Linked DNA regions of Drosophila melanogaster. The protein of the gene in region 4 purifies or fractionates together with the protein of the main gene of each other region. This does not show direct contact. Each region holds a gene or a part of one and is shown on either strand. Other genes may lie near its edges. The genes, in order: Sk2, GAPcenA, CG1603 and AIF.

Region 1 (5,332 bases), on a different chromosome or scaffold from region 4:
ACTTGGTGCATTTTAGCCATAAAAAGTATAAATTGATTGATTGATTTTCCTATATCTAGAGGCATCTGTTAAATAACGTATACAATTGAAAATTTAAAACTAGTGTGGGTGCTATTAATTTGAACGCTTCTGTCTGTTCATAATTATTTAGAATATATGTATATAGGCACTTATAAATGTTTAATAATTAAAAAAGCAATTAAGTGGACGCCTGATACTGTTCATTTTGGAATTTTATAAAGCTTCGTCTTTGACTGATGAAGACCATACATATGTACTCCTCCGAAGAATTTAAAGCTAATCCGCTGACCGCTGCTGTGTGTGTATACACTTGTTTGGGCATTGGGAATCGAGATCGAGAGCCAAGAATAACCACTTGTTGGCTGCGTACTGACCTTGAAGTTGGTATCGCTGAAGCACTTGCAGGGACAGACGGGTCCCTCGATCTGCAGGACGGTATCGCCGCATGTGTTCTTGATGTTGAACTTGGGCCGCATGAAGGTGCAGACCTGCTCAACGCTACCGATCACCTGGCCGGGTGGCGCCGACACCTCCACGGCGTTCATGCAGCTGGGAAAGCAGCAGAGGATGTCGCACTTGAAGGGCCGGTACAGGTGGAGCACCTCGTTCTGAAAATTGTCCAGTATCTTCATCTCGAAGGGGCGCGACCGGCCGAGCATGTTGCGGGTGCAGCAGTCGCTCTCCTCGTACGCGAAGTACACATTCTGGCCCAGTGAGTTCTTCACCTTGAAGCGGTTCTTCGTCTCGAAGCCGGTGAGCAGCTCCAGTTTCTCGATCTTCTGCGACACGAGCAACTGGTCCAGAGCGGTCAGGTATTCCAGTCCCTGCGGGCAGTTGGGCATGCCCACGGGTATCGACATCCAGTTTTCTGCAATGGGGCGTTGTTCCGGATTAGCTCCCTATGTATTTATATTTATCTATATGCATAAAGTGCTTTTCCGATATCTATGCATGGGTAAAGGAAATTAGCATAGCTACAATGGCGGTCAGGCGATTAGGGCCAGTGATAGCAGTTCTTAACATAAACTAATATTTTAAACAATATGTATTTACGTATTGACTTGGAATCACTTCACTTTTTGGTACATTATAAAATATCTTTTTTACATAGATAACTATGGGTGCTATTGCCATGCCCGCTGCTGTACTAAATGCCAAGAAAGAGACGACGGCATTTCCGCCTTTCGCACACGCCCACTAGCCCACACAGACGCGCGCAACCGACTAGGTCCATCCGAGTGATGGAATTCAACAGTGGACAAATCCATATATGTCCATCGCTACGCACCAGGTCCGTTGGCATTGTTGCCAACATTCGCCGCCTGCGGCTGCAGGACCACTGCGCCATTCTCGTCCTGCGGTGCATTCTGCGGGAGCACCTTGTACTCGCTCATCTGCATCATTGTTATTCCCAGCAATTAAATTCGTATCGGATTCTTTAACAGTTCACAAAACACTAAATGCAGGGTGACCGCGTTGCGAACGCCGAAAAATGCAACGCAAATGCACCGTACGAAATATTCTGTCATATATTTTGGTATTTATTCGAACACAGAAAAATATCAACAAAAAGCTTTCAGCACTCAATGCAGTGACAAGTTAAATTTGTTATGAGCTGACGTTTTTGTGGATTCATTTGTATTATTGCATTGTATTGCAATAGTTTCCTTAAGCTAGCCTCTTTAAGTTCTAAGAATTTTGAGTTTATTTGTGCCAGTTGGTATATTCGCGCCTGCCACCGACGGTAACACTGCGGCTATGATTGGATGATAAGCGATCCATAAAAGCCTGGACACAAAAGACCTGAAACATGCTGCTTGGCAGCCGAATCTCCAGTCGAAATGAGCGAATCTCTTGATAAGACCACCAGCCCGAGCTCGGCCAGTTCCAGGGCCACGCCCCCGGGAACGCAGGATGCGGATGAGGGCCACGACGTGAGCGATACCTTCTACACGAGCCAGCGCAAGAAGGGCAGCCACGTATTTCGGGTGCGCCTTGACGCCACAGGATTCACCCTGCAGCGGGAGTCGCCGGGCGGTAGCATTGTTAAGGAGCAACATGTCCGCATATCGGACATTGTGGGTGCCCGCTGCATGCGGCCCAAGAAGAGCCGGCGCCTGGCGATGTCGGGCGCCTGTGCGTGCAGCTCCGGTAATCCCAATTCGCCAGCCATCTCGGCGTCCGGCGATCACCATCGCCCTGCCACCACACCAAGCAAATGCAGCACCAATAGTCGGGATAATATTCCTTCGGATGGCGGCGATGTCAGCGCGTTTCTCTACGTTTTTGCCTATGTTCTGAAGAAGAGGAGCCTGCGGTCGGAGTTGCACCGGGAGCGAACGGTGCTCACTCTGCGCTTCCGGTCGTTCGACACCTTCGAGGACAACATGAGGGAGGCGGATCGTTGGTACAGATCCCTTCGCTGGCAGTTGCATCGCACGCTGGAGGAGATCTTTGTGGCGCCGACGGTGGATGAGCGACGCCGTCGAGTGCTTGTGCTGTTGAATCCCAAATCCGGTTCCGGTGACGCTCGTGAGGTCTTCAACATGCACGTGACGCCGGTGCTCAACGAGGCCGAGGTGCCCTACGACCTGTATGTAACCAAGCATTCCAACTTTGCCATCGAGTTCTTGAGCACCAGGTGCCTGGACGCCTGGTGCTGCGTGGTGGCTGTCGGCGGAGACGGTCTCTTCCACGAGATAGTCAATGGACTGCTGCAGCGCCAGGACTGGGCCCACGTCCTGCCTCATCTGGCACTGGGAATCATTCCTTGCGGCTCCGGAAATGGATTGGCCCGCTCCATTGCCCATTGTTACAAGTATGTTATCTTTGTTTCATGTTTCATTAGGAAAAACCCCCTTTTGACTTATGTGGATCTTCATATTTCGTGTAAAACAATCCCTCCAGCGTCTAGCCATGCAGTTTATCATTAGATTACATTCATAAGCAAAAGTAGTTTTCTTATCGTGTCAAATGGTTTTGTTGTTTTGCAAGTGGGGATATCCCCTTAAAGTTAAATTGACGTCAGACTAGAACAAACTTTCCACATCGTTAAGTAATTGCCCCCCAATTTCGTTCAACATTTAGTGGCATATCATCGAACTTTGAAATCTTTATGTTCTTTCTTTATGTTCATCTATAGCTCAACTTCCCGATAAAAGAGTATAAAAAGGGTAATAGAAAAGAATGTTTATAGACTTTAAAACCACATTCAGGTGTCTCATATCCGATCTATTGGTCGTAATCCGATTATCAGTCTTGTGTTGAAACCTATTCACTTGAAACCTTTCTCCCCAGCGAACCATACTTCAGCAAGCCAGTGCTAGGAGCTGCTCTGACCGTAATCAGTGGACGCAGTTCACCCATGGACGTGGTCCGGGTGCAGCTGCAGAGTCGCTCCCTCTACTCCTTCCTGTCCATCGGCTGGGGTCTGATCTCGGACGTGGACATCGAGAGCGAGCGCATTCGCATGTTGGGCTACCAGCGCTTCACCGTGTGGACCCTCTACCGTCTGGTGAATCTGCGCACCTACAACGGCCGAATCAGCTATCTTCTGACGGACCATGAGGTGTCCTCAACCCATAGCGCTACCGGTTATGCTGCCCAGCGGAGAATGCAGAGCAGCCGTAGCTGCAACACGCACATCGACATGCTAAATGGGCCGGCGCCCATCTATCATTCCAGTGCCGAGTACCTGCCACAGGAGTTTGCGGACGTGATCTCCCTGGAGACGTCCATCAATCAGTCGTTCCGCTCGAGGTGCGACAGCTGGTTGTCGGGGGGATCGCGGCGCAGCTTTTACTATTCCATATCGGAGAGCATCTACCACAGTCTGGCGGATGAGAGCGAGTTCGCCGGCCTGGCGGCCGCCTCGCTGGAAAACCGGCAGCAGAACTACGGTCCGGCAAGCGAGCTGCCGGATCTGAACGAACCGCTGTCCGAGGATCAGGGTTGGCTGGTGGAGGAGGGCGAGTTCGTCATGATGCACGCCGTTTACCAGACCCATCTGGGCATCGACTGTCATTTTGCGCCCAAGGCCCAGCTGAACGACGGCACCATCTACCTGATCCTCATACGCGCCGGCATCAGCCGCCCGCACCTGCTGAGCTTCCTCTACAACATGAGCTCCGGCACTCACCTGCCGGAGTCGCACGACGACCATGTGAAGGTGCTGCCAGTGCGAGCATTCCGCCTGGAGCCCTACGACAATCACGGCATCATCACGGTCGACGGCGAGCGCGTCGAGTTCGGGCCCCTCCAAGCTGAGGTCCTGCCGGGCATAGCCCGCGTCATGGTGCCCAAGTAGGAGGAGCTTACTGAAGACCATCAAGCAATAGAAATCTCAATTTTGGAATCTCTGCATTTGTAGCTAATACTTAGGGTCCCAGGTGGCCGATATGAGAGAGTTGTGCATTCTACATATTTCGTGTTTTTGTGGCCTGCTTCTGCCAACCAATCATGTATTGTTAACATTTTAAACACAATAACAGCTATTTCCGAAATATCTAACATGTTTGTTTATAAAACGTGTGCCATATGAAGTGCACGTGAATTTATTTTTATCTCGGCTGTTCAAAATAGCGATGAAAGTCTTATTTATTTTGTTCTTTTTTTTTTTAAACTGTGTAACGAAATGAGATATATATTCAAAATGTTTAAAGATGAATACAAATAAATCTTCATGAATTCAAAAATCTTAGAAAGTAACAGTGTAAGTAACAGAGCTAAATCATTTACAATTCCATATTTTAAAGTAGGAAGTTAAGAATATAACATCTTTGAGCTTGAAATAAAAAATAAAAATGTTAACTAATTTCAGCTCTGTTTCAATTTGTTTTCTTCTCTTTACTATATAGTTTAAAATATTTTTCAAAATTTATTATCAATTAAAGCTTTTATTAAAATGTAACGGTTCCAACCAATAACGGTAATTTTTCGGTATTTCGTGCTTGCATTTAGTATTGTTGTGGAACGCAAATGACAGCTTTTAGAGAGTTTCAGCCGGTCACACTGGTCGAAAAAAAAGAAAAAAACAAATCCGTTCCGTTTGTGAAAAAACATTTCCGAGTAAAAATAAACAGCGCTGCTTGCATTTCACATAGTGTCAGCACATTCCGATTCCAGTCCGCGACTCTCCAGCACGGAATCCCAGTCTGCATTCCGGTCAGGAAGCGATTCGTGCTCTACAATATGTCGTCCGAGGAGCTGGCGCCAATTAACGAGCAGGACTTCAAGGATCTCAAGGAGCGCATGAAATTGATTGTGGAGGCGGATCCAAAGCAGTATCACAATGACTTTTCGCTGCGTCGCT
Region 2 (7,827 bases), on a different chromosome or scaffold from region 4:
GGACCAATTTGGCGTTGGATTCGTCATTACCGTGCCAAATGAAGAGGTCATCCTCAGCCACCACGCAATCCTCCTCCTTGTGAAGCTGCTGTTCGAGGGGGTCAATCAGGCACACAGCTTGGCGCGCGCAGCCGATGGCCACAACCTCGTCCGCCGAATGGCTGTTGTGGAGCTTGGCATCCGGGAAGCGGGCTCCCACTGCCGCCTGAAGCTTGGGGATTTGCATTGTGGCGCCTAGTAGAACGATGTCATCTATTTTACTCAACCCGGGATGCTCCTTTTGCGCCTGCTCCACACACTCGCCTAGCTGCTGGATGAGGTTATTGATCACTGGCTGTATGAGGCTCTCGAAGCGAGCACGCGACATCTGGGCATTGTAATCAACGCCGTCCATCAGGGAGTCGATATAAAGTTGCGTGGAAGGCATCGTGGTCAGGATGTGTTTGCAATTGGCGGCGGCAGTGCGTATTTTGGCCACTGAGCGGCGAGACTCATGCGGATCTAGCTTGTACTTGCGACGGAACTCCTCGCAAATAAACTGCACCAAGGCCTCGGTGAATTGCCGGCCACCGATGGGGAAGGGTCCGAAAGTGGCCAGCTGAACGAACAGGCCATTTTGGACGGAGTAGAATGCGATGTCGCTATATAAGCCACCGCATTTGATTGTCAGCACATGGCGGCGCTGTTCCGTCTGCTCCTCGCCGATGCTATAGCCTAGAACGGCGGCCGTGGGTTCGGTTATAATCTGGGCCACATGGAAGCCAGCGGTTTGAGCGGCATCTGCTAGCAGTTTGTAGGCCGAGGCGGGATAGTAGCTGGGTATGGATAGCACGGCAATGGGCGCCTGCTCCCCGTCCGTGTGATATTGATGGGCCAGCTCCAGCTCAGCGCGCAGCAGCTCCACCGTCACCTGATAGGCGCTGAGGTCCTTGGTCACAACTCTATCGTCTTGGTCCTCCCTGTCGGAGGGTACAGTGTGCTCCATCCGGAACACCAGCTCCTCCTTGTCAAAGTCGCAGGGTATTTCACGCAGCGCACTGGACAGTTTCTCCTCCGTGAGCTCTTCCTTGGGCTGAAGCAACTGAAAGCTGTGCGCCACCGCCTGGCGCGGACGGTTGGCCATCTTCTGCTTGGCCGTGAGGCCACATTCGATCTCCGAGGCTCCGTCCCAGAGAAGGCACGCTTGGGACACTCGGTCGCCCTGTTTGTTGGCGATCACCTCCGCCTTGCCATCCGCGCGCACATGGGCGATGCAAAGCGTGCTGTTGCCAATCTTAATGCCAAATCGCGGCCACATCTTTTGGGAGTCGGAATCGGAGTCAGAAGTACCCGGACTTAAGGAATTATCTTAACAAAATGCAACGAATAAACGCGCACGTTTTTTTCCAGCACGCGCGGTAGTGTTGTGTAGCAGAGTATTTGGCAACACTGGCGGGGTATTATGTCACGGCGATGACACTTTTTCGATATGTACTATATGTTTAATATGTTCTCAATATTTTCCATACATCACATACCTTTATAGATTTGGTTCTTTGAATTACAATTTAAAAATTTATTTATATTTATTTAAATTTATTCAAGACAAGTCATTTCAGTCAAAGACAACTTTGTAATGCTATTGGATTATTTAGATTGCCATATAAGCATATGGCAATATGCATAGAAAAGAAAATAACTAGTCGATTAAGTCGATAGGTACACTTATTAACACTTTCAAAAGAAGTATTGAATAACGTTAAAGCAGCTGTTTCCTTTCGATAGGAATCGACCTACTGCAGGTCATCACTAGCAAAAAAATATGTAAACAAAACAGACGGAAAATTGCAAGAAAATTGCTAAAAACCCGATAAAAACACAACAATAAAGGGTCAAAACAATGTACTACAGTTCTGCGGAGTGTAGGCTATAATATAAAAACCAAAGTGTAAGCTCAAAGCAGCTGCACGCACTAAAATAACAAAAAAATCCATAGGAATCCAAGCGCAGAGGCTACAGAGACAAACTGTTGACCCCGCCGACCCCACCGTCCACCACCCCCTTGAAGGCCCAACCCCTCCAGTTCCCACGCGAATTGGGCACTGTGTGACATACATGCGCGTGTGTGTACGCCCCCAAAACGCCAAGCAAACCGTACCGATTCGTCATCGATTTACGGCGGAACCAAGCCAAACAATGCGACTCCGCTGAAAATTGGACAAATTGAAAACGAAATCTATTAAAAGCGAGTGCGAGTACGAGTGCGTGGCCTTGGAACAGAAATTGATTTGTTTACCTGCCCTGAAAATGCGCAATTCGTAGGGCTTAAGAATAAAGAAAGTCCGAATATATCACACACACAACAAAGAGTAACCCATTTGGGAGTGCCTGGAACTGAGGCAACCTTGAGTGTTCGGAATGGATGATAATCTGAGCACCAAGTCCTCGGAATCCTCGATAACAACCAGCGGGGAGTACGAAATAGTTACCGACAGCAATGTGGCCAGTCCCATGGAGCAGGTGAAGCAGGTTGTCAACCAGGAGGGAACTCAGCCTGAAGTGGGTGGCAAACCGCCCACTTCGCTGAGTGCTCTGGCTCTGTCCTCCCCCGAGGCTGGGGGAGATCGCTCGCCCACTCTGGACATGGCCCACAATCGCAACCTAAGCGACATGCAGCACGAGATGACGGACGCCCTCAAAGATCTGGAGTTGGAACGCGGCGTAGGTGAGTAAAGAAACACAACTGAGAGGGTGAATTGGGTTGCCCTGGGTAGCCTAAAGTAAACTCAGTCGTTGCCCAACGCCAGCTGTGCACACAACGTCGCGGTCGCTCCACTATTGGAAACATCAAACGATTGCTAAGCCTAACCAGCTGCAATCTTATCGGCGCAGAGCCGTAGTGCTACGCTGTCATGGAAACAACGACAAACAAACCGAATAATAATACTTTCCTTAAACAAAATTCCGCATAATTCGGCATTTGTTATTGCTCGTCGCGTAATTGACAATTAACATATTTGCAGCTGCCAGTGGGGAGAAGTCAGCGCAACGTCTCCCGAGTCATCAGCAAAAGTCCCTGACCCTACCGCTCACGGGCTCCGGCGGGGGATCTGTCGATCCCGAGATGCGTTTCCCCTGCACCTTGTTCACGCCCAAAAGCGAGGAGACCCTCGACGATGCATCCAGCTCAAACAGAGTGGGTCATTCAGTGTTCTATGACTGCATAGACGCTAGCCCCGCCTGCGTGGAGGAAAAACAGGATGCCATGAAGCCGGAGAAGGGCGACACCACCGACGAGGAGGGTGAGTAGATCTCTTAAGTTAGTTAAAATCCCAAAAATTAAGGGGTACATTTGCCTATAAATTCTGTTCATTTTACGAAAGCCTATATACTCACAGAGTTCTTTATTATTTGTTCTATATTGTGTTCCTAGGCTCCTAAAGCTGAAATCTATGTTTAGTGTAATTATTGAAATTTAATTGACCATGTGTTTTTCACTTTCAGTTTCTGAAATCGATCAGGGCTGCACCATATTTTCCGGAGTCACCTACCTGGGCGCAGCCAACATTAATGCCCCAAAATCCGAGACGGAGGTTTATCGCATCATGGGCGAGCTAAATAGTGGCTCAAAGTCGGTGGGCCTGAAGATCACTGTGAGCATACCCAATTGCTCAGAAGGCCTGGTTGTGTGAGTAAAGTTTTTACTGCCCCTTGAATTACTCACTGAGCGTCATCATGCTGCTATTACAGCCTCCACGATGCCGAGAGCAATACTATTATTGCCACCTATGAGATATCCAGCATTATCTTGTACTATCGAGGACCAGTGGATACGGTGGAAAACGGATGCTTTGCATTCACTTGGCTTCACGGCGATGCATTGTTTCAGTGCCATGTGTTTCGGTGCCATATTCCCGAAGCGGTTAATCAAGTCAGCGGTGAGTCAGATCATACAGTGATTTCATCCCACCGATTTATTCAAAATCTTCGCCCGCAGCCTGCTTCCAGAAGGCATTCCAGACTTATCCGCCCAGCATGAGTTGCAGCCTTAATTCGGCCGTTGACATGGCCAACTCGGTAACCTCCGATGTAAGCGGAAATCCTTTAAACACGGCTGGGTATGAGTTCATAGTCTCCTTAGAGATCCGTGAGCGAGTGGCAAAGAACTCCTATGCCGCAGTGCCTCGCGATAGGGGATGCTTTAAGCTAAGGGCGAACACAGATAAGGAAGTGTGCATCACAGTCAAACAGACTCCGTCAAATGTTCTTCAACCATTGCATATCGAACGATGTTTCGGTGTTCTAGTGGCACCCGGAAAACTAGTAGTCCAAAAGGATATGCATTTGATCGACATGCACAGCATGGGTTACATTCAGCCCGGCGGAACAGGAGTAGCAACCGAATCGGACAGCAATGCCCAGCAGAGCTCCTCCTGGCCCTATACAATTCGAGCTGAGTGGAAAGCCCAGGAAAAGGCCTTTGAGCAGTTAAATCTTGAGTCGTCAAAGACCAATCTCACTGTGGCCGTAGACATTGTGATGCGACGTATACAGGAACCGGTTAGGTTCGTCATTGAGACCCCAGTGACCATTCAGTCGGCCAGCGAAATGCGTATTATGGACCATTTTATGTCAAAGCGACCCATGACGTTACGATTCTATTTGCATCTAAAGCGGACCGAAGAGTCCAACTGGAAAGTGAATAGCATTGATCCCTCTGAGGAAATAACGGAGCAGCCGGGCCACCAGCAAAGCTCTTCCCTGCTCAAGATGGGTATGAATAATCTATCGCGCATTGTGCGCAGTTCGTCCATTGCCTCGATTGAGGATGATTGTCCCTCGGACTACAGCAGCGATGGGGATGAGCCGCTGCTGAGTGGCACTGGTGAGGTATCTAAGGATTGCTCGCAGGACACGCTCGACGAATGGGATCCCATTCTGCGTGAGTGGGATTCCGAGAAGAGACCGAAAAATCTGGCACCTTTAGTACGCCTCGGCGTTCCAGAAGCACTGCGTGAAAAGATCTGGCAGAAGCTAGCCAACGTCGAGGGCAGAATGGAAATGAACGACAAGTACAAGATCTTAATCACCAAAGTGAGTATAGACGCTATCCATGTGAAAAGAAATTAATTGGAAATTTACTTGTAGGAAACCAAATGTGAGACCGTTATCCAGCGGGACATCCATCGCACTTTCCCGGCGCACAAATGCTTCAAAGAAATTGGCGGTTCTGGCCAAGATGCACTTTTTAAGGTGTCCAAAGCGTATGCCGTTCATGACAGCGAGGTTGGATATTGTCAGGGTCTAAGTTTCATAGCAGCTAGTCTGCTCCTTCATGTAAGTAATGATGATGACAATCTACATCTAAGAATGATTGCTTACACACACATTTTCAGATGCCTGAGGAGGATGCGTTCTGTGTTCTGGTAGCGCTTATGTACGACTATGGGCTCCGTGATCTCTACAAAGCCGGATTCGAGGTCCTTTACCTTCGTCTCTACCAACTGGAGCGACTGATCAAGGATCAGCTGCCCAAGCTGCACGAACACTTCACGGCCTGCGGCATTGAGACGCACATGTACGCCTCCCAATGGTTCCTAACCTTATATACAGCGCGATTCCCATTGTGTTTTGTGTTCCACGTGCTGGATGTGTTTCTACTGGACGGACTACCTGTGCTCTTCCAGGTGGCCGTTACTCTCTTATCAATCTGTGAATCCGACTTGCGGCAACTCGATTTTGAGGGCATTCTAAAGTATTTCCGGGTAACGTTGCCGAAAAAGTGCCGCAGCTCCAGTCAGGCACGCAAGGTGATGAAGCAAGCCTGCGAACGTAAGATAAAAAAACTGAAGCAGTACGAGGAGGAGTTCCTGCTGAAGAAGCAGCACAAGGAGCGCCTGGAGAAGGAGGCACAGATTTACGAGAATCGTTTCGGCGAGGAGAGGCGCAAAATGCAGGCGGAAATCGACGCATTGAACAAACAACTGACTTCCGCCAAGGAGCGAGCTGTTGAGAAGGAGAAGAAGCACACAGGCATTATACAGGAATACAAGCAGATCATCCAGCGCCAAGAGCAGGACATGAACACACTAAGCGAGACTCTAGGAAAAGTGATGGTGAGTATTGTATTGTAATATGAATTTGACGGGATATTCATTTTTCAACTCTCTTTCAGCACATGGTTTCCAATTGCCAGGATTGTCAGCAGCAGATCGACGCCGGCAATGACAACGCTAAGTCAGATGACGGCAAGAACAGGGGGCAAACCGATGCCATGCGGAATGCCAATGAGCATCCACTGGGTCCACTTGATCCGCTAAACGCTGCCTCGCAACGCATCCGCGAACTAGAGCTGGAGCTGGCCCAGGCCAAGCTAGCTCAAGTGGAAGCCGAGTGCAAGAACCAGGACCTGAACCATCAGCTCAGCAATACGCTCAGTGAGCTGCAAACCAACCGCAACAGCTGGCAGCCCTGGCTATCGAAGACCTTCAATTCGCTGCAGGAGAAGGTAACCACGCGAGGCGGCCATCGGGATAATGGTAGTGGCGGACCGATGCCCTCATTCCAATCCTACATGGGCCAGGCGCCAACTACCCTAAGCGAGGCCAGCTCCCCCAGCGGCAATCAGGTAACCTAGAGTCCAGTGATCCGGCCAACTGTTATGACTGAAAGATCTTCAGTTTATTATTTTTAAGTTTTTTATGTATTATTTCTATGATTAAGATATGGGTTATCAGCCCACGAGCTGAGCTCCAGGAATGTTTTCGAAATACTTTATTAATACCCATTACTTATCATTGATTAATTTAATTACGCGCTTAACCTCACACCATGACACACATTGAGAATCTTTATTTAGTCGACTCTATGCAGGCATTGAACCCCTCTGCTGTTTCTGTTAGTACCCTAAAACCCGGGTTGCTTATGATTTTATTGATATTTTGCGTTGCAAATAAAACCCCGTGTATATAACATACTGAATTTGAATCTTTTGGTCCCTCGAATGGCTGCCCAGGAGTACAAGACCTTTGCATTTGCGTCGGTGGGAGGGTCACCGAAGTTGCCCAGCAAATTCCAGGCCACCAAGCTGCGCAACAGCATCGATAGTCTGCGCAATATAGTAGTGCCCCTGGACACTGGCAAAACGCTAGCCGAGAATCTCAAGCAACAGCTGCAGCAGTAGGAAACGATACAGCTACAACGTAGGAGGATCTGGATAGCAGGCAGACCTACGGCATTGACTACGTCTGGTATTATTTATCATATTCGTCTATATATACATATAAAAACGTGCATTTTGATTTCCATATATACGCGAGTAATAGATTTTTATTATTTTGCACTTTGAGGCACCCGAAAGTCAGTGCTGGTCAGGATGTGCCCCGGATCAATTAGTGGGTTGAAGTGAATCTTGGGCGATGGATGTTCGTTGTTGTTTTTTGTGATCTGATCTGGGGCACATATTGATCTGCTCTGGCAAATGCTACACGTATAACGGCTATAAATAAATAAATTAACAAAAAATGCTAATTCATAATGTAATTATTCATTTCTTTTTGCGGTATGGTACATATTATAAAGAATACAAACGTTGCGACCTTTTGGATAAGTCTTGATGAAGTTGAAGTTAATTATTTATTAAGAATTTCAATAAGCTAATAACATTCGAGTAAGAAACAGGCTTATTTATTTATATGTGACTAGAATCCGACCAGAATCACACCAGGCTTTAATACTATCGTTCCACTTGTCCACTCTTCCATTTTGAATCTCCCGCTCAGATGAAGAACAATCGCTGCATTGCCTCGCTCGTTTTTTGTGGCGTCGATACCGCCATTGTCGCGTAGT
Region 3 (5,014 bases), on a different chromosome or scaffold from region 4:
TCACTCCGCACGCGTAAAATGGAGAGCGTAAATTTCTTAAAATAGAATGTACTTCCTTGTGTGTGTTAAAACAACAAACGAGAAAGTGTATATGAGCATACTTGTGCTAGAAAACTTTCGTCTCGAAATCAATTTTGATCTCAGAAACGAAGGTACATACATACATATTTAAAGTTTTGGTCAAAGCTTGTTGCAATACGATCTACTACAGAGTTATTTAAAATTTAATGCCTTGACTATTCTTTTAAGAAGAGTTGTTATTAATTAAATACCGCTTATTTATTTTTGCTTATAATTAAAAATATTTAAAATTGCACTGACGACATACTTCAACAAGGGTCTATGAGCAGTATCTTGTACCGTATAAAAATTATTTTCATCATTATTTAAGCTAATAAACTAAATAAAGTCTTAAATCGTTATTATAACTATTGTAATTAAAAATATAAATTTGGCAAAAAGGAAAATACATTTAAAAAAATATATTTCATAAAAGAAATATAAATACATTGTTAAAAATGAATATATATAAAATTTTGTACACGTCATTTGATCAAAAATAATAATAATAGAGCTGCTAGCTCTAGAGCTCTCCGCTCTCTGACTTTTGAACAAAAACTCGGGAGAGCCTCAAGCCAGCTCTAGATCTAGAGCCAGAACCAAAAAATCATATGTTATTCTAATATCTCCTCTACAAGTAACGGTTATACAAATTTATCTTAAAACGAACTTATTTTTCCGGCTTCTTCTTTTTTTTATGAATAATACATTCCTTAAACCAAATTTTGAAAAGGAAAGTATGAAAAAGGAAAAGCTTGTGCATATGATTATCATACACATGTTCTTATCAAATACACAAAAGCCGTAAGTGCTTAACAACACGCTTGTTATTATCACTACTCTAACGTAAGTTTATTCTTGATTTACATCAAATGAAGCTTACTGATTCTCGTTATCAAAAAATAAAGCAGTTTCTAAAAATGTCCCTCAAGGCGAGAGTTCATTCCGATCTGTGGCTGCGGCGATGTCTGGAAAGCGAAGAATGGTCATAGAACGTAGCATCACAGTACTCGCACTTCTTATCACGGATATTCAGATGTCCTTTGATATGGTTGGCCAGCTCGAACTTCTTGCGGAAGGTTTTGGTGCACATATTGCAGCTGTAGGGTCTAATGTTCAGGTGAACTCCGTTGACGTGGTGGTCCAGGAGTAGCTTGAGCCGGAATGTCTTGCCGCAGATGTCACAGACGTGAGGCCGCTCGCCCGTGTGGATTAGTGTGTGCACCTTTAGGTCGGTATCCACGGCGAACGATTTTTCGCAGTACTGGCACTTCAACTTGCGTTCGAAGTGGGAACGCAGCTTGTGACGGTCCATGTCTACGTGGCGGTCGAAGCGCCTCGGGCAGAACGAGCAGAGGTACGGTAGGTCGCCCACCTCGTGCGCCTTGACGATGTGCACCCGTAGGTTGTAGTCGCCGTGGAAACGTTTATCGCAGTAGTCACAGTACAGCACCTGACTTTCGGAACCCTTGGCGGGCAAGAAGCTGCACATTTGCAGATACTGAACCTCTTGCTTGCTGCACTTCTGAATTAGTTCCTTGGATTTGAGGCGACGAATGGCATCGTAAAGCCAACGGCGCAGCTTGTTGACCGCAATGTAAACGTCCGTTTCGTTGGCCTTCACCACTGGCTGGAATTCCTTTGCCATTCTTTTGAAGGCATCTGCACGTATCTCTATTGAGCCAAAGTCTGGCAACGCTTGATTATACAGCACGGGATAGTTGGCATAGGTCTCTATGAATGAGGTGGTTATCAGGTTTTCCTCCTTAAAATTAAGCTGAAAAAAGGATTTTTGGTCAGAAAAGAGCTACATTATAGTGGGCTAGTTATTACCTTAATTGCAGTCAAGTCGTTGTCCTCCTCGTTCTCCCTTGGCGTTACAACAGGCGCCACACTGAGGAACTCGCACTTGGCAAAGTAACGCGCTGCAAGTCCAACAAGCTTTCCCCTTTGTTTTGTCTCCAAAGCCAGCGTGTACTGCACGTGCAGTTGCTCGAGCGTTTTCTTCAGTTCTTCCACGGTGAAGAGAACATTGGCCTTGCGGTCCATGCGTTCCATTATCGCCTCGTAGGCCATGCTTCGTGCAGGCTCGTCCTGGTAGTGTTCATCGGAAGGGTTCCACAGGCAGGGATGCTCTTTGTACGCTTGGATCAAATGCAGCACACGGGGATTGCTCCGAATAAACGAAACTTTGAACTGAATGACGCCGTTAAGTGGAATGAATTTCAGCTTAAGTGAAATATACTACGTACTAACCTTGAAAACCTGTCCTGGTCTTGTTCGCCTGGGCGGACGTCCAGGTTTTCTAGGAGGTGCCAAGTCATCCTCAGACATAAAGAAGTCACTACAATCAACATCATCATCGTCTGTGTTTAGGGGTATGTGATTTTGGGAAGACTCGTCCATTTGTGTGACTTCCTTTCCGGCTGGAAGTTCCAAAGAGCTGCCGCCTGGACCGAACTCCCAGGAATTGTTTGTAGCTGCAGACCAAGCGGTGGCGTCTTCCTCGTACTGGATATCCTGCGGTCAACGAGAGCTCACTTATTTGACCACCCTTGGTAAGCGAGTGAAAGAGTCTTACCTTGCTATCAGCTTCCATCCATTGATCGACCCCATTGCTGTTTTCGATCACCTCGAAGAACTCATCCGGCCCATAGGCGATGGCTGGGTCCGCCGCGTCAACGACGCTGTATAGCTCCTCGGTATCCTCTTTGATTTCATTAATCCTAACGTCCTCGTCTTCGCAGTAGTGCGCCGATTTCACATGGACGATGAACAGCTCCCAATCCTTCAGCTCGCTCTCTATGCTGCAGTAGAGGCATTTCAGCCGGAACATCTCGTACTTGGAGTTGGTCATCACATTGCCGCACAGCTCCATGCTTACGTTGTGCGCTCTGATCTGACTTCAGCTTGAAAAATGTTCCTTTTCTGAAAATATATTCGTTTATTTAAGGTAACAATTTTTTTATGCGTTTGGGACTGTGTTGGACAACGACTGAAATAATTATGTATCGATAGACTATTCGATAAAAATCTATTTTTAAAATAATATTTAAACACAATTTTATGAAGGCTTAAAAGAAAACGTTTTAACAACTGTTGGTGGTGCTTAAAAATGATTAAAAATCTGCATTTCATGAATGAATCTTTAAAGTAACTAGTACATTTCAATTTTCGAAAAAAAATGTTATAAAATTCTAGTACTAACCATTTGGAAAAATCAAAATCAATCAAGCTTATTTGTTGAGAAATTATATTTTTTTTGTCATATCGATAGAAAATAGCGAGACAAATATGAACAGGAAAACACCAAAACGTTTTTCAAATGTATGGGCGTTACAGTTGTCGGCGCCTTGTGGGCGTGCCAACATTTTGGAAAAAATAGCGCAGCGTAGGCAGGGGAATGTGTTTAGGCTTTTAGATGTACATCCCCAGATTTCGACAGATGGACATGGCCAGATAATGTAGAATTTATATTCTTAATTATTAATATACATTCTTAAACCGTTATATAAATAAATTTGTTTAAACATATTGTTTCACTCTCATTTGTGTATTTTTATTTCCCCCCATTTGCAAAAGATTGCCTATTTATAAACTGTCATTTTATTGCAAATTTAATCAAATTCAGTTCTCTGCATCCACAGCATCTTTACCCTTTTGTGAATTATTACGAAGAATGTTGTGGGTGCGCTTCATGTGCGTATTAAGACCCACAAACTGGGAGAACCTGGAGTCGCAGAGTTTGCACACAAACTTCTTCACCTCGGAGTGAATCTGCCGGTGTCGGATGAGTGCATGGCAGCTGGTGAATCCCTTACCGCACACACTGCAGATTTTGTCGCGGATGTTTAAATGGCCCTTGATGTGATCCGATAAGTCGACCTTTTTCACAAAGTCTTTGGGACACATGGTGCACTTGAAGGCTCTGATCTTCGTGTGAATAGCCGTGACGTGGAGCGTCATTTGGGACCGCAGTCGGAAGGCCTTGCCGCAATGCTCGCAGACGTAAGGCTTGTGGCCAGTGTGCGTACGGATGTGCAGCTGCAGGTCCGACATCACAGCGAATGAACGCTCACAATGGGTGCACTTGTGGGTCTTGCCGATATGGACCCGCTGTATGTGATTAGCCAGCTCGCAACGTCCCACAAAACTTCGGTCGCACAAGGTGCATTTGAAGGGCAGCTCGCCGATGTTGTGCGCCTTGAAGATGTGCGACTGCAGGACATGATCCGAGGACGTAATCTGGTGGCAAAATTCGCAGACCAGCCGCTGCTTGTACATCTTTGCAGGCATGAACCGACACACCTCTAGGTAGAACTTCTCGGCTGTACTTCCGGCATAAATGGCATGCTTAGTGTTCTTGTAGTACCATTGGCGGAGATTCTGGATGGCGCGGAATATGTCATCGCTGTTGATGTCCACATTGGGCACTGAGATTTCCGCAGCCATGCTCTCGTATGCCTGTTTTCGAGAGCTCATATTGGAGAACTCCTTGTGGTTGGAGTCGTATAGCTGCGGAAAGTTTGCGTACATCTCTATCAGGTCGGTAGTCAGCTTGTTTTTCTTGGAGAAATCAAGCTGCGGGCAAAGTATGCTTGTTAACAATTTCAATTTGAATTAATTCAAATATCTTGCCTTAATTTTTTCGTTATTCGTAGCCCCTTCTTCATCGTTGCTAGCGTTCAAGAAGCAACACAATTTGTATATACTGAAAGCCAGCGATTGAGGTTTCTGTTTTCCAGACACCACCCGCTTGTGCACGGTGTTGAACTGCATGTGGACTTTCTTGATGGCCAGCTTTAAGGCCATCTCGTTCAGGAATACGGATACAGTTGCCTCCAAGTCAATGGCCATACGCTTCAGGGCTTCTTTGCATTTCTTGGGTTCCTTGTAGTCGCTGTGAGCGGGATTCCAAAGGCACGGGTGTTCCTTGTAGATCTCTATGAACTTT
Region 4 (5,701 bases):
CCACCTTTGGCACAAGAAGTCAGGTAGGATCCTACTTCAGCGAAAATAATATTTCGCGAATTTTATTGATCCTCGCTATATTCAGCTAATCCAGCCTAAAACCCTAAACCAGGTGCTCGTCTTTTATAAGGCAGATGGTTTAGTCAAATTCTGGGAAAATTCCAAAAAAATATGTACATTTAAATTCTGTGCCGTTGTGAGACAACTCGGACAATAAACAAATGGGTTATATGATTGAAGTAAAAAAAATAAGTTCCAAAGTTCCTACGATTTATTTAAATAAGAATCAAAGCAAAATCTCTTAGGATTAGTTAAATAACGGGTGCCTCAGGATCAAAAAGCGGATTTTTCAACACCGAAAATGAATAATTTGAACAGTTTAGTTGGTACGGTGAATTTTTTGTCAACAACTTTCTGGTGCTTGGTTTATTACGAAAGTTACACACAATTCAACAGAGACCCGCTTGTCTACGACTTTTCAATATTTACACGGAGATATGCACTTTGCTGCTACATAACCGAATCAATGTCGTTGACTACAAAATAAGGTTTATTCCAAAAATAATAAAACTAAAATTTCTGTTGCATTGCGTCATTGCCGTTCGTATCTAGTTGCAGTTGCAAATGTACACAGTAAACACAGTTAAAGGCATTCGGGTTGGATAGGTTCTGTTCGGTGCGTGCTGATAAGCATATCAGGGTAGCCAGATCTTCTCCATGGTCCCTCGGGACTCGCTGTTCTCTACGCGTGAATCTCGAACAGTTTGGCCACCTCATTGAGGTCATCGTACTTCTTATTCTGATTGATTATTGTCCTAGCTAAGCCTATCCGATTGAAGAGGTTCCACAGCAGGATGCCGACGATCTTGTCGTTCTTCAAGTAGAATATTACACCCTTGCCATAGTTGCCCGCCTCATCGGGATCACAGGTAACGCCATCTTGGCTAGCCCCGGCATCAGATTTTGACGACTGGCTGGAACTCGTACTGGTCTCCGGCACGTCGGAATCACTAGACTCAGACAGTTGGTCAACGCGCGTGGCGGATTCCGAGGGCAGGGCGAACACACCAACGGTGGGTAGCGAGGAATCCACCAAGCCAATACCCTCGTATCCGATCTCTGGACCTAGATCGGACCAAAACATGCTCTGATGTTGATAAGGTTTCTCTGCAAAAGGTACGGCGAACATTATGATCGATCGGTTATTAACTTTAAGCCCAGTAACTTACTTGCTCCCGTCATGTTCTCGCCGGCCAGCCGACCAGAGACCACCGAGTGATCATGGTGCTCCACCCGTCGCCTGCCCAGCAGAGGATCGAAGAAGCAGGAAGCATCACCGGCCACGTACAGGTTCCGCCTGGCCTCCAGCTCTGCATTAACCACAAAACCGCCGAGACTTCTGTCCACCTCTAGCCTGCTGGGTCCCGCGAGATCCGTGTTTGGCGTGCAACCCACGCAGACCACCACCACGTCCGACATCAAAGTCATTCCATTGTTTAACTCCAACTTTAGATTGGTTTCATCGCGAACTGCCGAGCGAATGCTGGCGTTGGGGATGACGCAGACACCCTGGGCTTCCATCTTTGCCGTCGTCCAGCGACTCAAGTAGTTTGGAAGGACCTTTGACATGTTGGCATTTTCCTGGAACACCTGGTACACTTTACCGCCATTGTTCTCTCTGGAATAGTGTGCCAGGGAGCAGGCCAGTTCACTGCCGATAAATCCATTGCCAACAATTGTGATTGAACGCTTTTCCGCCGCCAATTTGCGGAGGCGATCAAAGTCATCGGGTGTGCGATAGACCATTACTTTTTCGAGCACGCTGGGCGGAGCATCACGCAGCATGGGCAGGTTCTTGGGGGCACAGCCGGTGGCAATTAGGCATTCGTCGTAGCTTATCTCGTAACCGTCGTTCAACGTCACTATGCGTTTTTGAGCGTCCACCTTCTTCACAGAGAAACCTTGAGCGACGGCAATCCCTCCATTTGCATTATCATCCAGATCCTCGGGGTCAATGAAAAACTCATCCGGCTCAAAGAACAAGCTGTGAACAGGAAGGGAATAACTTAATGGGTTTCAATTATATAAAAAAAGTTATTCAGACCTACCTTCTCTCGGATCCCGTCCATTGTTTGAATCGATAGTCCTTGATGGGATCCTCGTTAGGATTGGGCGTATACCACAGTTCCTTGGACAGTGGGGGGCGCATGTAGGGTTTGCGGAACTCGTTGCTAATCATTAAAACCTTGGCTGTTGCATCGTTAGACTTGATGGCTCGGAAAGCAGAGAAGGCAGCGGTTCCGCCGCCGATAATCAGGTACGGCACATGCTTGGGAAGGTCCTCAGAACTGGGCGGACCTGCGCATAGAGAGAAAGTGATAAGTTACCTCGGCCTATCTTGAAAATTGTTGTAATTATTATCCAATCATGATGATTTTGAGGTATGTATAAGATAATGCTTATCTGAATCAGTTGGCAAATGTGGTTTAATCTAGCCTACCAATTCAAAAATCTATGGTTTTCGCTTTACTTACTCGTGGCTAGTCCAGCAACTAATCTACGTTTTCGTTCCTCCTCCTCCGCCTCGGCTTTTTTGGCTTCACTGTCATCCGTATCCCGCGTCATAAACCAAGCGAGCTATATGATAGCAAAGTAATTAGAGAATATTTCCTTTAGATATCAGATCGAAACATACAAATCCTCCGGCTAACAAGGCAGCCAGGGCACCCAAGAGGCACTTAAGCCGTAGGTCCTTCATCCGACACTCGCACTCCTCGTCTCCACCATCACCGCCACCGGGAGCAGTACCATCCTCGTCGCAGGGCTGGCAGGTGGTCTCCTTTCGTTTGCGCTTGAATTCCTCGCAGGGACTAGTCGCTTTGCAGGAATCCAGGACGGGTTGGCTGGTGCTGAGCTTTGCACTGTCCGACTTTAACACATCCTTAGCACTGCAGACGGACTTGACGTCAGCAAAGCCCTGGAAATTGATTATATTGTTTAATATTTGTTAATAACTCTGCAAGTCTTTGATGGGGATGCAAACTGGTTTCTGTTTAATAACCCAGCTATGTTTTCGCTAGTTATCAATTTCACAAGGCTTGTAGGAAGTTAGTTTGCATCCCCAACTTATCCAGCTAATGCAAATGGATGGTGAATGGTATGAACGATGGGTACCACTTTAAAGAGTGGCTCCGATTGGGAATGGGCTTGAAACTGGGCATTGGCGTAGGCGGGAACGCCGGCTCCCTCCACCGCCGTCTCGTACTCTTCAACGGGGGGCGTGGTCGAGGGCTTGGTGACGCAGACTTGATGATTTGGATATTTGTTGGCTTGCAATTTGGTGCGCGCCTCAAGGGTGCGTTTCTTTACCATTTGATAGAGGCTGCTGTGGGCTGGCCGAAGAGGAGCTGAAATCGACGTGAATGCTAGTTAGTTATCGGCAAAAACATGAAAACACGGATCGGTTTGGCCAGCCGGCCATAACCTCACTTACCGTATGCCGGCGGCGAGCGCTGCGGCACTGGACCCAATAGCCTTCTGTTGGCCAGGATGTACGCCTGCCGGATGAACCTCTGCGTCAGACATCGGACCCCCCAAATACTCATCGTGATTTGCACTGGCTGCGGAGTAGGTGACACCACAATCCACAATTGTGTAACGTAACAACGTTGTGCGGCGAAAGAAACGTGTGTTTTGCGAGTTCGTGTTTTATTTACAAAAAAACCAATTTCTATGACAAATTTCTCCGTGTGAAGTCCGGCGGTGTTTAATTGATCTCGACTCCTTTATCCCTCCTTGCTTTTGGGTAGTCCGCGTTTAATTTATATTTATTTTTCATTCCCTCGCCTGTCTTGTTTTTTTCTGTCTCTGTCGCAGTGTGACCGTCGCAATGAAATGGGAAATGGCCCAGCGCCTATTCGAAATTATTTGGCTTGAAAATAGCCACTTTTTATCAAAAAGTGTTCGTTGGTTTTTGAAATGTTGAACAATATTTAATTTATTTTGAGCAAGTGAAATTTTAAAATCGAACTTACAAGCTCTTTGTTTTGAAAACGATAAATATTAAAAAACATGTTAAAATAAAGATGTGCTTCCAAAATAAAGAATAAAAATTCTTATGAATACCACTTATGTATGTTGTCAGTACAATTGTGCATTAATATATATTAAATACATGTGGGAACATTCATTTATCAGCACTCGCTTGCTGCAAAGCGGCTGCAGCAGCTGCTCCACTTACGGGAGGCTTGATGTCCATTAGTTGGCACAACTGGTTCCGCAGCGGACGCACCTCCACCAGCGGCTGGGTCCAGTCCGTTTCGGAGAGCAGTGTTAGGATCTCATCCATATTCTCCTCGGGCACTTCGGTGACATCGCCGTGCAGAGCCAACGCTTCGTACAATTTTGTGGCAGCGGTTTTGCGAACGTGGACGTGCTGCAGTCCAAGAAATACTGAGAGCTTGGAGAGGATGCGTTTAGACAGGCGAGGAACCTGGAGCAACTGGCAAAAAGCACTGATGCTGGTCGCAGTCTTGTACAGCTTCTTGTAGCCCTTAACCTCCAGGTTGAGCAGCCTAAAGATATCCTCTGCAAAGGGATTTGCTTCATCGTGTAGAACCGATTCTACAGTTCCGGAGCCAATGAGTATATCCAGGAAACTGAGCAGAGGATAGGTCACGCGCTCGTTTAGTAGATGCTCCTCGAAAATCTGGACCACCTCGGAGCAGAGACGCGGAACAGTCTCAGGATTGGAACGCAAGAAGTGGAATAAGGCACTGGAGGCATACTTGATCTGCAGGAAGAATATTTTAGAGATTGATATAGAGGTGGTCTATACAACTTACAAGAGATTCAGTCAGTTGACCAATGCTGGCACTCAGACCCAAAAGAACTCTTTTAGAGTAATCCGGCAGAGAGAGCAGCTCGCAGAACAGCGGGAATGTGTGATCGGCAAATAACCAAAGTACGGAATCCGCATCCGCGGGAAATATTTCCAAGAGTTTTGAGTGCTCCCGTATGTAGGGGATCCTCGGCTGATGATGGATCAGTTGGCAGCAAAGGCGACCACCTAATCCACGAGTGCGATCGATCTTCTCCACCGCCTGTTGCATAAAGCCCACGACAATCTCATGCACTTGCTCTGGGGCGAGGAGATCAGGCGGACACGTAGTGACGATTTCGTATAGCGATGACATAGCCGCCTCCCTCACCCACGCTCCGATGTCACCACGGTTGTCCAGGGTGTACTCTTGAAGAGCTCTTAACAGGCATTCGATAACCTTGTTAAAGTTTTTCGGCTCAGCAAATGAGTCTGAAAAAATAATTGTATACTAAGATTTGTTCACATTCTTAGCCCACAACTAAGATCATTGACTCACCAATTCCCCCTCCATATCCCACGGTCTTCACCAACTTGGTCAAGGCCAGCACGCTCTGTGTCCGTGCCTCGCTCCACCTGTATGCCTGGATGTTCTCGCGGTCACCCATTTCACCCACCAGAACTGCTTGCAGTGGAGTTAGGGAGTGCTTCACCAGACTGTCCAATATAGCCTGCAGATGACAGCGGATCATAAAGGATGGGAGCACACCCAGAGCAGCAATGTAGCCCATGCGAATGTGCTCCTCCAAATCGTTATCTGCACCTGTTAGATAAGTGTTGATTATGGCTTCGTTTTCCCCGTGCCTGGAATCTGAGCAGTAA

What was found.
Region 1: the proteins of AIF (region 4) and Sk2 purify together in Drosophila melanogaster (affinity purification with mass spectrometry, with the first as the bait; one large-scale study listed by BioGRID). This does not show direct contact.
Region 2: the proteins of AIF (region 4) and GAPcenA purify together in Drosophila melanogaster (affinity purification with mass spectrometry, with the first as the bait; one large-scale study listed by BioGRID). This does not show direct contact.
Region 3: the proteins of AIF (region 4) and CG1603 purify together in Drosophila melanogaster (affinity purification with mass spectrometry, with the first as the bait; one large-scale study listed by BioGRID). This does not show direct contact.

What each region holds. Positions count from the first base shown.
Region 1 is NT_037436.4:3,045,328-3,050,659, forward strand, and holds Sk2 (sphingosine kinase 2), read left to right. Parts: upstream 1-1,759; 5' UTR 1,760-1,862; coding exon 1,863-2,839; intron 2,840-3,318; coding exon 3,319-4,327; 3' UTR 4,328-4,832; downstream 4,833-5,332. Other genes in the region: scramb2 (scramblase 2), read right to left, coding at 396-889, 1,310-1,424; CG32485 (uncharacterized protein), read left to right, coding at 5,212-5,332.
Region 2 is NT_037436.4:8,344,773-8,352,599, forward strand, and holds GAPcenA (GTPase activating protein and centrosome-associated), read left to right. Parts: upstream 1-1,788; 5' UTR 1,789-2,397; coding exon 2,398-2,704; intron 2,705-2,768; exon of another isoform or gene 2,769-3,002; coding exon 3,003-3,281; intron 3,282-3,483; coding exon 3,484-3,667; intron 3,668-3,729; coding exon 3,730-3,917; intron 3,918-3,976; coding exon 3,977-5,073; intron 5,074-5,127; coding exon 5,128-5,316; intron 5,317-5,375; coding exon 5,376-6,095; intron 6,096-6,154; coding exon 6,155-6,607; coding exon of another isoform or gene 6,608-6,616; exon of another isoform or gene 6,617-6,952; intron 6,953-6,994; coding exon 6,995-7,162; 3' UTR 7,163-7,507; downstream 7,508-7,827. Other genes in the region: CG7182 (uncharacterized protein), read right to left, coding at 1-1,297; Culd (CUB and LDLa domain), read right to left, coding at 7,757-7,827.
Region 3 is NT_033778.4:7,513,327-7,518,340, forward strand, and holds CG1603 (uncharacterized protein), read right to left. Parts: upstream 3,065-5,014; 5' UTR 2,939-3,064; coding exon 2,642-2,938; intron 2,581-2,641; coding exon 2,317-2,580; intron 2,257-2,316; coding exon 1,894-2,256; intron 1,838-1,893; coding exon 1,001-1,837; 3' UTR 520-1,000; downstream 1-519. Other genes in the region: CG1602 (uncharacterized protein), read right to left, coding at 3,688-4,641, 4,699-5,014. UniProt on the Drosophila melanogaster protein: Chromatin-binding protein involved in the organization of active promoters and insulators. Essential for the activity of heterochromatin promoters; primarily binds to specific motifs within promoters of housekeeping genes.
Region 4 is NT_033779.5:2,149,939-2,155,639, reverse strand, and holds AIF (apoptosis inducing factor), read right to left. Parts: upstream 3,887-5,701; 5' UTR 3,606-3,886; coding exon 3,494-3,605; intron 3,408-3,493; coding exon 3,175-3,407; intron 2,978-3,174; coding exon 2,696-2,977; intron 2,638-2,695; coding exon 2,535-2,637; intron 2,359-2,534; coding exon 2,109-2,358; intron 2,045-2,108; coding exon 1,230-2,044; intron 1,168-1,229; coding exon 743-1,167; 3' UTR 535-742; downstream 1-534. Other genes in the region: Tbcd (Tubulin-binding cofactor D), read right to left, coding at 4,187-4,792, 4,845-5,311, 5,379-5,701. UniProt on the Drosophila melanogaster protein: Probable NADH oxidoreductase. Mitochondrial effector of cell death that plays roles in developmentally regulated cell death and normal mitochondrial function.